Linked DNA regions of Drosophila melanogaster. The protein of the gene in region 2 interacts with the protein of the main gene of each other region in a biochemical or structural test. Each region holds a gene or a part of one and is shown on either strand. Other genes may lie near its edges.

The links.
Region 1: the proteins of cdm (region 2) and mago are reported together in a solved structure, tested with the Drosophila melanogaster proteins (one study listed by BioGRID).

Annotation. Positions count from the first base shown.
Region 1 is NT_033778.4:21,126,547-21,130,288, reverse strand, and holds mago (mago nashi), read right to left. Parts: upstream 1,713-3,742; 5' UTR 1,596-1,712; coding exon 1,335-1,595; intron 1,277-1,334; coding exon 1,094-1,276; 3' UTR 552-1,093; downstream 1-551. Other genes in the region: magi, read left to right, coding at 1-414; Tmtc3 (transmembrane O-mannosyltransferase targeting cadherins 3), read left to right, coding at 3,270-3,742. UniProt on the Drosophila melanogaster protein: Core component of the splicing-dependent multiprotein exon junction complex (EJC) deposited at splice junctions on mRNAs. Involved in exon definition of genes containing long introns, including the rolled/MAPK gene.
Region 2 is NT_033777.3:18,178,570-18,185,358, forward strand, and holds cdm (cadmus), read right to left. Parts: upstream 4,911-6,789; 5' UTR 4,778-4,910; coding exon 4,622-4,777; intron 4,524-4,621; coding exon 4,027-4,523; intron 3,965-4,026; coding exon 3,283-3,964; intron 3,178-3,282; coding exon 2,578-3,177; intron 2,512-2,577; coding exon 2,314-2,511; intron 2,254-2,313; coding exon 2,116-2,253; intron 2,057-2,115; coding exon 1,497-2,056; intron 1,481-1,496; exon of another isoform or gene 1,433-1,480; coding exon 1,348-1,432; 3' UTR 706-1,347; downstream 1-705. Other genes in the region: CG7208 (uncharacterized protein), read right to left, coding at 5,214-6,024, 6,089-6,576.

The DNA.
Region 1 (3,742 bases), on a different chromosome or scaffold from region 2:
CCGGCGGATCGTTGTGGAGAGCTCAAGGTGGGCGATCGCATAGTGGCAGTAAACCGCATCGAGATAGCTGGCATGTCGCACGGCGATGTAGTGAATCTCATCAAGGAGTCTGGTCTTCATGTGCGTCTCACTATCGGCGTTCCGCTGAAGGAGGGTGGTCCCAGTCCTGGCGGCAGTAGCGTCGGTGTGTCCAGCAACACTCCGCTGCAGGCATCTCCCAGTCTCCTGAAGGCACAACTCTCCCACCAGCAGCAACTTCCGCAGCAGCATCTACAGCAAGCGCAGCTGAATCACCACCACCAGCATCTTGAGATGCCAATGTCAATGCCCGTGCCAGGACATGGCAGCTATTTGGAGCGACCCAGTAACAATATCTCAGCCACTTTGGCGCTGCATCAGCAGCCACAATTATGACTCTGAGACCTACGCATTCGGCTCTATAAGAGCTTTCTATAGTGTTGCATCGCCTGCAGGCCCTTAGTTTGTACTTTCGTTAGCAAAGTACTCACCCCAAAGACTGAATTTAGTAGCATATGTAAGCCAAACCCTTTGCAAGTCTCAAAACCGTATGTGAGTGCGTATTTTATTCCAGTTTCTTAAGATACCGATCATTATCTTAGGCTAAGTTACTGCTTGTACTTAAACGTTAAGACAATTTGCCAGTTTGTGAGATATTAATCACTTAGCTTAAGCTGTTTTAGACATATACGAATTGTACAAATGTAAAGGACTTTAAATTTTTATCTCGAGTATGTATATTATTCAAACACAATAGATATTAAATTGTATTTTTCAAATATACCTACACATTATAACATCAAAAGTTAAATGGTTTACTATTGTGTTTGCTATTATTGTTAAACTTGTTGTCTGCTACTACATCGAAGATTTGCTATTTACTTCTATAGCACAATCTAGACTGTACACAAGACTTTGAAAACAAAGTATCTTCCAATCCTTTTTTATTCACTGCAAACTGTACCAAAAAGTACAAAGGTATAGCTTATACAATTACAAGTATCGTAGAAGTTCCATTATAAAATACGATGTGTCCGTCCGATAAATAGGCTATGCTTGAGGTGGTGGCTACGGCTTATATGGGCTTGATCTTGAAATGCAGGCCGATGAGTGAGAAGACCAGGCACTTGAGATCCTGCACCAGGTAGTAAAAGCATCGCAGGCCCTCGGGATCTTTTGACCGGTTCACGTCCACCAATGATCCCGTTTTCGAGGTGGTGAACGAGATGTGCTCGTCTCCGATGACGATCTCCAGTTCCTGAAAAAGACACATGGTTGTTTAGTTGAGCTCTAGTTACGGAGTGCGGCAAACCGACCTGTCGACCCACGCGATCTGGTGGCGGCCAGGGCAGATCGTCCTCCTGCATGATCTCCGAGTCGATGATGATTCGCTTCAGTTCTTCCATCACGGACTGGTGGACGAAGGCCTCCTTGCGGATCATGGTGTCGTTCTTGTAGTTGGAGTTGTTGGCGTACCGCAGCTTGCCATCCGGCCGGAACTCGAACTCCAAGAATTCGTGCCCGAACTTGCCCTTGTGTCCGACGTAGTAGCGTAGGTAAAAGTCCTCCGTGGACATGATTGCTTCTAGTTTAAAGCGTAACTTTGAAAGACTTTCAGAAAAATATCAATTTTTGGTTTCCCACTCTTTTTCCTTTACTACAACGCGTTAGAGATGGGAAAACACACGGAATAACTATCACCGCGTATCGATAAGTGTTCGCTGCGAATGGCTGGCAGGGATGAGGAAGAGAAGCCAGCCTATCGGCGTATCGATAACACAACAATAATCCACGTACAAGTCGCGCATTTGGCACTGATTTTTATTAAAATGTAATTCAGTTTTGGATGCCATGGAACTACCTCAACAAGTATGTGAACGACAGGGCGGTGTGTGAGAACCCATCTGTTAAACGGTGCTCGAAACTCGCTGGGCAACATTGTAATTATTGGCGAATTGAAACAAAGTTGGCAAATCGGGTTTGTTTGCGGCCGTGTGATTGTGTGCGTGTGCGAGGCCATCGCCGTTGTAATGGCGTCCATGTCACTAAAATGGGAGAGGACATGCGGCTGGCTCTCCGGTTCCAGCGCCCATAGCCATCGCCATGTCCTTATCCTTCTCCAGTGCCCCGTATCTCGGTCAAAGTAATTTTACAAAAACACACACGGCCATTAATTTGCGCTCGGCGAGCGGGAGAGCCATGAGCACGGAGAGCGCACGTCCTGGCAAGTGAAAGTGCAAGGATGCGGGACCGCGCATGTGTCGCTCTTGGCGGGAAAATGGAATAAGGGTAAACGGAGCACGTGCCCGCCCGGTCGTCCTTCGGGAAAAGTCGGTCGTGCAACAAAGTTGCGCTCAGCTGAGATGCAATCCTCTCCAGCTCCCGTTGAAGCTAGGCCCCTTTTTTCGCTCTTTACGAGCGCTTACTTCGCTTGTGGTGGTTTGTTTTGACTGAACGCCCGGAAAATCGATGGCATTGAGTGCAACATTGTGGCATCCGCCCATCTGCCCACCGATGTGCCCCGCCTAGTAATGCTCCAGGTCCCGCAACATTTACAACAGTTTATGCAAACAAATCTCTCACGCGCTCTTCGCCTCTCTAAAAGCGCTCTCCGTCCGCATACTTGTACTTGTGCGTACCCAAAGTCCGGATCCGGAGCTCTGTCGGTCCGCCCGGGTTACAACTTTGTTAACTTCGGGCTTTTGTGTGTGCAGTCGGTAACCAGGACAGTAACCGGGAAGGAGTTACTTTGTTGCGTATTAATTGATTTTTTCCGCAATCAGTTTTTGCTTCTTTGTATAACTTCAAGTGCTCATAAAAAGCGGTAGAAAGTTTGTCTTTAAAAAGACTTTGACTTGGGGGAAAATCGGTAAGTTGCGGATGAAGGACTATGGAAAGTAAGAGGATTTGGGTGTGTATCCAGAAAAGATGCGAGGGCTTACATATACATTACTGCACAATTTTGTTGCTCGGGGGAATCCCCTTTCAAAAAAAATATATAGATATGTATGTTGCCTACATTTAGGGGCTTTCTCACTAATAGGAAGTGTCTATACTTAAATTGGTGGACTTGTATACTTAATTAGTTTCCAGTTAACTTAAACTAATGGTTTTCCCACTTTCTCATTTTTTTCCAGGCCATCTAGGGACCTGCCGACCGTGGCTGGGTAAAGCCCTACATGCAACATTTCGCCGCCTGAACGAACAATTGTGGGTACATGACGCCTTTCACGAAGTAACGCGAAATCAACATGTCAACGAACCCCAACCCCGGAATCCATCAGTATGCACCCTCCACTTTGCCGAGGGAACGGGAGCGGGAAGGAGCCACAAACTCGCCGCAGCGCAACCTGCTCGAGTTCCTGTGTATATGCGTAGCCTGCATAGTCTGCTATTACAACAGTACTCAGTGCGGGCTTGTTTTCGATGACATCAGCGCAATCAGGGACAACAAGGATCTGAGGCCGCACACTCCGCTGATCAACGTTTTCCTGAACGACTTCTGGGGGACGCCGATGCGCAAGGAGCAGTCCCACAAGTCTTATCGCCCACTCACCGTGCTGACGTTCCGCTTCAACTACTTGCTGCATGCACTTGAGCCGTTTGGATACCACCTCGTCAACCTGCTGCTGCACTTGTCGGTCTGCCTTTTGTGGCGTCGGGTCTGCCGGTTGCTGCTGCGTCAGTGTGCCGCATCGGGCAGTAATGCCATCTCGGCACCATC
Region 2 (6,789 bases):
TAATCTGGTATCACAACTATGCTCTTACCATTTCAGTAAACGCGTGAATATAATTGTACAGTTGAATTTGAATTGTCTAACTTAAGGCGTAGGCGTTTACCACCTTGATTGAGTACATATATATCCCCCGATTTCTGCCACATGCATACATAGATAGCTATATGACATCCAGACATTCATGCCACATGCCACTATTATACACACATACTATATAAAACATGTTTACTACTCCACGACTCAAATTTGCAAATATTGTACGCTATTTAGCCTAGCAGTTAGAGCAGCATACCCATAATATATTTATATGAAACAAATCGCCCAGCAGGACACATAAATTGTGGTATGTATGTGCGTGAGTGTATTTTTGTATGTACTACCTATTAAATATAGAAATATATATATATATATATGTGCGGAGAACCGTGTTCCTGAACACCGATCAAAAGGAATTAGGCATTTTTGTTTGTCCTGGACTGGCCGTGGATGATCCTGCGGACCGCCAAGGAATAGAGATGTGCCAATTTCTGGTCCACCAAGCACAGTTGATAACCTATAAGCATCCTTACAACGTCACCACAACAGACTGGGACAAATTGCTGGTCGTAGCGTCTACTTCTATACGTTAATCTATATCTATATGTTAAACTGTAATTTTGGATCCGTGTCAACCAGTCGTTTAGTTCCATAGTCAAGTCATTACCGGGTCCGTTAGACAAGGATTTATGCAGATACTCTCAACTAATCTAGAATCTAGACAAAGGCGACGAAGCAGATCAAAAGAGTTTTGCTACCACTACCAAGTGCTGTACACGCCAAAAACGAAAGGCTTCAGTTTAGCTATAGACACAAATATATATATATATATATATATTATATAAAGAGATGTATTTACATATTTTTGGCATTATAGATACATACACAATGTGGAAAATTGCAAAACAATAATATGGGTGGAGAGGTAAAGGGAAAGTAATTCTTAGAAAGGCAGATTTTTTCATACAGGAAACGGTGAAAATCAAACTTTTCAACATAAGAATTAAACATATATATATATATGGGAAAAACAAAAACTATAAAACATTTACTAAAAGTGAAAACAATAAATGAAAAATGAGTTATACACCCTTAAAACAATATATATGTGCAAATTGTAAATGGAGCATGTAATTTTGTAAAAATTATAAATAAAAGTTTATCAAGTCGAGAACTTTTGAACTTAAGTTAAAATTGGAGACAATTTACAGAGCTGACGGCCTATTTAAATACAAACTAAATACAATTATAGAAACTAGATCAAAATCCGGATGGATAAAGATGTCATTTGGCCACTTATTGCATACACTCATTTCACTGGAACTTTTCTGTAAGTCCTCGGGTCTTCATTGCCATTTCCGACAAATGTTGTTGCAATAACCTCTTGTTGACCTTTTCCCTGTGAAAAAATTTATAAAATTAATACAATCTTTAAGGATCTATATATAAGTAACGCCTCTCACTTGATTATTAGAGCAGTGTAGCGCGTTTTATCCGCGTCGGTTATGAGCTGTGTGGGGAAATTGGGAGTGGACATTAGGGACTTCATCCAGACGGCCATCTCGGCGGCATATTTTCTGTTCATGGCAAGAAGGATGTCTGCAAACTTATCCACCTGCGACCGCGGCGTTAGGTAGCCCACGCACATCATCGCCGTGTACAGCGTCTGCTCGCCGGTGGCCAGGACAACTTCTGTGACATGAGCATGGTTACGCGACTGCATCACAAAGTGGGTAAGAAACTGTATGCTATTTCGGATGGCACCACTCTCCGGCAAAGTCATTCCACGCTGGGCGTAAAAGACCAGACGATCGTAGGCCAGTGTCTTGTCCTCCAAAACTTGAGGGATTTTCTTAATGATCTGCGTCAGACAGCCGAAGAAGGTTTCCATGGTGTCCGAAATGTTGGAGAAGTTCTGCTCGGGAGTGCTCTCAAATAGCTTAAAGCTGTGTTGGATGAACTCCCTCAGAAGTTGCTGCATCAGCGGCTTGCAGCCTTCGTCCTTAAAGAACATAACAATGGCCTGAAACAAAGGATTCTATTAGATCACTCAGTCATTTGCAATATATTGGTAAGGCTCACCGTTTTGGATATTTCTAGAGTAGGAGCGCAGCATCGGGTCTGAAAGCTGGCAACAATGAAGAGACAAAGATCCTGCAGCATTGGCTGGAAGCTGCTCCTTAAATTCGTTATCGCATGCTTCATCGCACTGCAAGCGGCCTATATGAATACGATAACATTTTATTAAAAATATGCAAAATTTTGTGTTTATTGCCTTACCTCTAGGACATCGATCTCCTCCACCCACATCTCGGCGATTCTCTTGAAGATGGGCATCGTGCGCTGCATGACGAGCAGAACTGGCTGCACAATCGGTTGGTCCGTCGCCTGCTCGTCCACATCCGTGTTTAGCGAGGAGAAGAGAGTGGAGATCATATTGAGCCGGAAGATTGTGCGAATTCGAGCAGCGGGAGTTTTCTAGTGCAACAAAAGAAATGGTTAGCAACTGATCTCTTTATATATTTTATATTTATATTTACTCACCGAATCTGCCTGGCAAATGGCCTGTAGCTCCTCGAAGCAGGGACTGACGATAATATCCAAGTATTTGGGTATTTCCTCTGGCCGCAGCAGGCTCATTAGCTTACCGATGCTGAACATAAGCCTCACCGAATCGGAGTTCTTCATGCGGCCCGTGTTTAGGGAAGCGTGGCATGCGTTTAGGAGCGGATCCGCATACGGCTTCAGCTGCAGCTGACAATCGCGACACAGCTCCTTCAGGCCGAGCGTCGCCTGTGCTGACATTGAGGAGTTGAGGCCGCGCACCAGTAGGTTAATGGCTGGCGGAATGTACGCCGGATTCTCCATCAGCCAATTGCAATAGGAGCCCATTGTCTCTAGCGCAGTGCCCAGTAGCTTGACATTGAGCTTCTCGTAGGGAATCTCGGCCAGCACGCGCATCAGCCGTGGTATTTGCCGCTTCTCCTCGCCACCAAAGTGCTCGGCCACCGACTGAAAGGAATAGATGCACGCCTCCAGCTTTGTCCAGTGTGTGGGATGTCTTTGCAGATCGGCAATGGCCTCGTCCAACATGGCAGCCAGAATCTCCAAGATATAGTCATTCAACACATCATAGCAATACATCTAAAATAAATAAAATAAATGCTATATTATGCCTGTTTGTTAATAGTTGAAAACGGTAGCCAATCCTTTCGATTTGGAGACACTCCAACTGTTGCAACCACTCACAAAGGTATCGGATATATCCTGTCTGTAGCACCTAAAGCATTCCAAATCATCGGAGCTCCACTTGGCGAGCGACTTTTCGTCTGGCTGCTCTGACTTTCTTACTAAAATCCTGGTTAGATGGGCGTACAATGGTTTGATGTACTCCCAGCACTTGTGTTTCTGCTCATCGTTAGACATGGCGAACACTTCGTCTTGCAGCATATACCAAAACGCCAAGGCCATTGTGCTGCAGGACTCCTCCACCGGGTAAATGCCCGGCTTGTCCGTGCAGTGGAGAATCTCCTGCACGATGCGATGCACTAGGATAGACAATTCCGGATCCGCGGACGTGATGCCGCTGAGCAACAGCGTCGAATGTCGCTCCACCGAAGAGACGAACAGCATGTAGATATGTACGATAATGTCCTCGTTGTCGTTCTCCCTCTTCCATTCCGTCTTTGTGATTTCGGATAGCGAGTCCAGGAACATTTTTATAAGCACAAATGCCGTCTTTGGATAGTTGTGGCAGTCTGGCTGGATGATAATGTTCACCATGGTCTTCAGACAGGACTCGGCCAGTTCGTTCTCATCGGCGGTCATGCAGCCGTCGCCGGCGTGTATGCAGGGCCAATAGCACTTGTGCACCACTTCCAGGAGCACGGCGGTGATGGTGACGCAGCCCTCAATGGTGTAGCCGATGTTTCTGTCCAAGTTGGAAACTCACTTAGAACGTGTAAAGAATAATTTTGTAAATTGAATACTCACTTGATCCAGGTGCCGACGCACTTAACGGCCCTGTTCATGTTACTGTACGCCTCGGCATCCCACACGCGGTTCATTTGCAGCTTCAGATATCGCTCAACGGTGTGAATGACCAACTGCACTCGCTTGGCGATCTCGGCGCGCAGAACAACCCGCTTGACAGACGTATGTATGACCTGCGCTTCCTCGGGAATGGCGGTCAGCACCTCCAGCATGATCCACAATTGCACATCGGCGCTGACATTTGGCATCCGTTGATTCTGAAACGTGTTGATCACCTCCTCGATGGCGCCGGGCCATTCGCCCAGCATGTGAACGATGTAAGCGCCCAGCGAGATGCACAACCGATTGAGGACGATCTTCGGTCCGCCAGCGAAGCGAACGATGGATTCGAGTATCTTTTGCTTTAACTCCTCGCGATTCTCTGGCGGCACTTCGTGCCAGTGCTTCATAAGCTTGGAGTGCAGCGTGATGGCGCCGAAGAACTGCACCTCCTGACTCTGTGTGGGCGGTGGGGTGATTGGGTGGGCGGTAGGTGCATGAGTATACATATCCGGGTAATTGATGCATTGATGCGCAGGTCCTGCGTGGTACTCACCTTGCCGAGCTGCATTAGCTGCCAGGAAAACTGCCAGGCCTGTGGACTGGCCTCCGCATCGGTAAGCCATTCATGGGTGATCGCCTGGTTCTGCGAGTTCGAGCGGTAGAACGACACGACCGCCTCCTCCAGACGCGCAATGTCAATGGGCTCCATGTGGAATGGCTGCTGCTGCTGCTAATGCTGCTGCTGCCGAGAGGCAGTCTCCTGTCCGCTAATCCTCGGGTGGTGGTTTTCTTTGCTTCTGCCTGTGGGCACTGGATTCGCGAGTGTGACCAACGCGCGAAGTCACCAATTCGCGGACGGGCCGAGTGTGCGGTCACTCCATTTTCGACTTTGCCGCGCTTTTTTTCCTCCTGTATTTTTTATAAAAAGTGTTGAAATGTACGTATTTAATAATAAATAAATATGTAATATAGTATAAATTGCTTGTGGCCTATATGCTCGATATATGCAGGAAAAATTCAATTTATAACAACATTTATTCATTCGTACACTTCATAAAATTTTACTATTTCTATTTAGTAAATACTCTCTGCAATTGAGGAGTATCTTAACAAGTTAACAGTGAATTTGGAAAGCCCAAAAAGTCCTATATAAAATCGAATTTAAGTTGCCAGAAACAGTATCGCAATTTGGAACACCGGTCGGCGATGAAATCCCTGCTATCCTCATCGATATACACCTCAATAAGGACGTTGTCGCAGAATTGAGCGACCTGCCTCTCCACGTCTTGGCAGTCCAAAGTGGAGCGATTAACGACGGCCCATCTGTCGGTATTCAAGCCCGGGTTCTGTGACTCCAGTAATGCGAAGATCACACAGAGCGACTTATTCGGACTGACCAAGGGCAGGACAAAGGTCGTCCTCACTAGATCGAAGAACTTAATGAAGGGCTGGCAGGAGTGGGGCGGCTCCACACCTTCGACTGCTTCGATGACCCATTGGGCCGTTTCGTTATCCTCGCAGACCACCAGCATGTTGCAGTCGAATGTCTGCGTTGAGGCACACTCACTAAAATTGAGATCGCTGACGCTCGATCCACTGTCCTCGAATATTGAATGAAAGTGCTCCATTAGGGCGATAGTGTCCACACCATCCGAGCACGAACTCTGGTTAGTTATCACCAAGGCGTAACGTCGGTTCTCGGGCATTGTGTTCGCATACGGCGGCCGAGTATCCCTCTTGCGACAATTCTTTGGCGTGCAGCAGTCCTTCTTCCTCTCCTTGCACTCCTCGGCCTGCTCCACTGAGCAGCTTGTGCGGCTGGTCTCCGTCTTGCAGCAGTTCATCAGGTGGATCTTCGAACCAAATATGGAAGCCATGCTGCCGGCTCGTTTGTCCGCGAGCAGATTCTGCTGCGGAACCACCTTGACCACGCTGTTCTCTTGGTTGCTTCGTATTCTGTGAATGAATCAGTTGGGTATCCCTATCATTTACATATATAGTTATTACACACAACACACACCTTTTGGCAGCCGATTCCTCATCGGAGGCGCACACTCTCGTCTTTCGCGCTACGGAGCTGGCGCTCGTGCTTGCGGATTCGAAGCTGGCGTTCGTCTGGTTCGACGCACTGGATGCGGAGGAATCTTGCGAGTTCGAAGCCTCGCAAAACTGCGGAAGCCTGTCCACTGGCAGAAGCATAGAGCTCTTCGGCATGTTAAGGAAATCCAGTTGGCTCTTGCCCTCTGGAATTGTATAGAATTGGAGAAATCCTACAAAGGAATTTTCGTGGTACAGCGAAAAGGCTGTACCATTAAGCGTTGTCGACGGATAAGTATAATCGCTTTTATCCGGAATTCTGAGCAAATTTGTAATAAACTCATCGTTTTCCAGAGACTTGTGAAAACTCTGTACGTTTAGGCGAGCCAAGGGAAGACCTACTTTTACCTCCAGTTTTTGCTTCAATTCACCAATGGTCGCATTATTGTGGAGCTCGAACATTTCCGGCATCTGTATGGGATTGAGAAATGAAAATATGTATTTATTAAATTTAAGCTTCAATTATTATAGCTCCATTTATAAGCCACAATTGTAAAATATGTGCGGGCTTAAGATAACTGCATACCACACTTGTGTTTCCCTCGGCATCTAATTTCACTTTGACGAACATTTTATGTAAGAGAAGATATTAAAACTTGAATTAACAATTGGTAATATACAAAA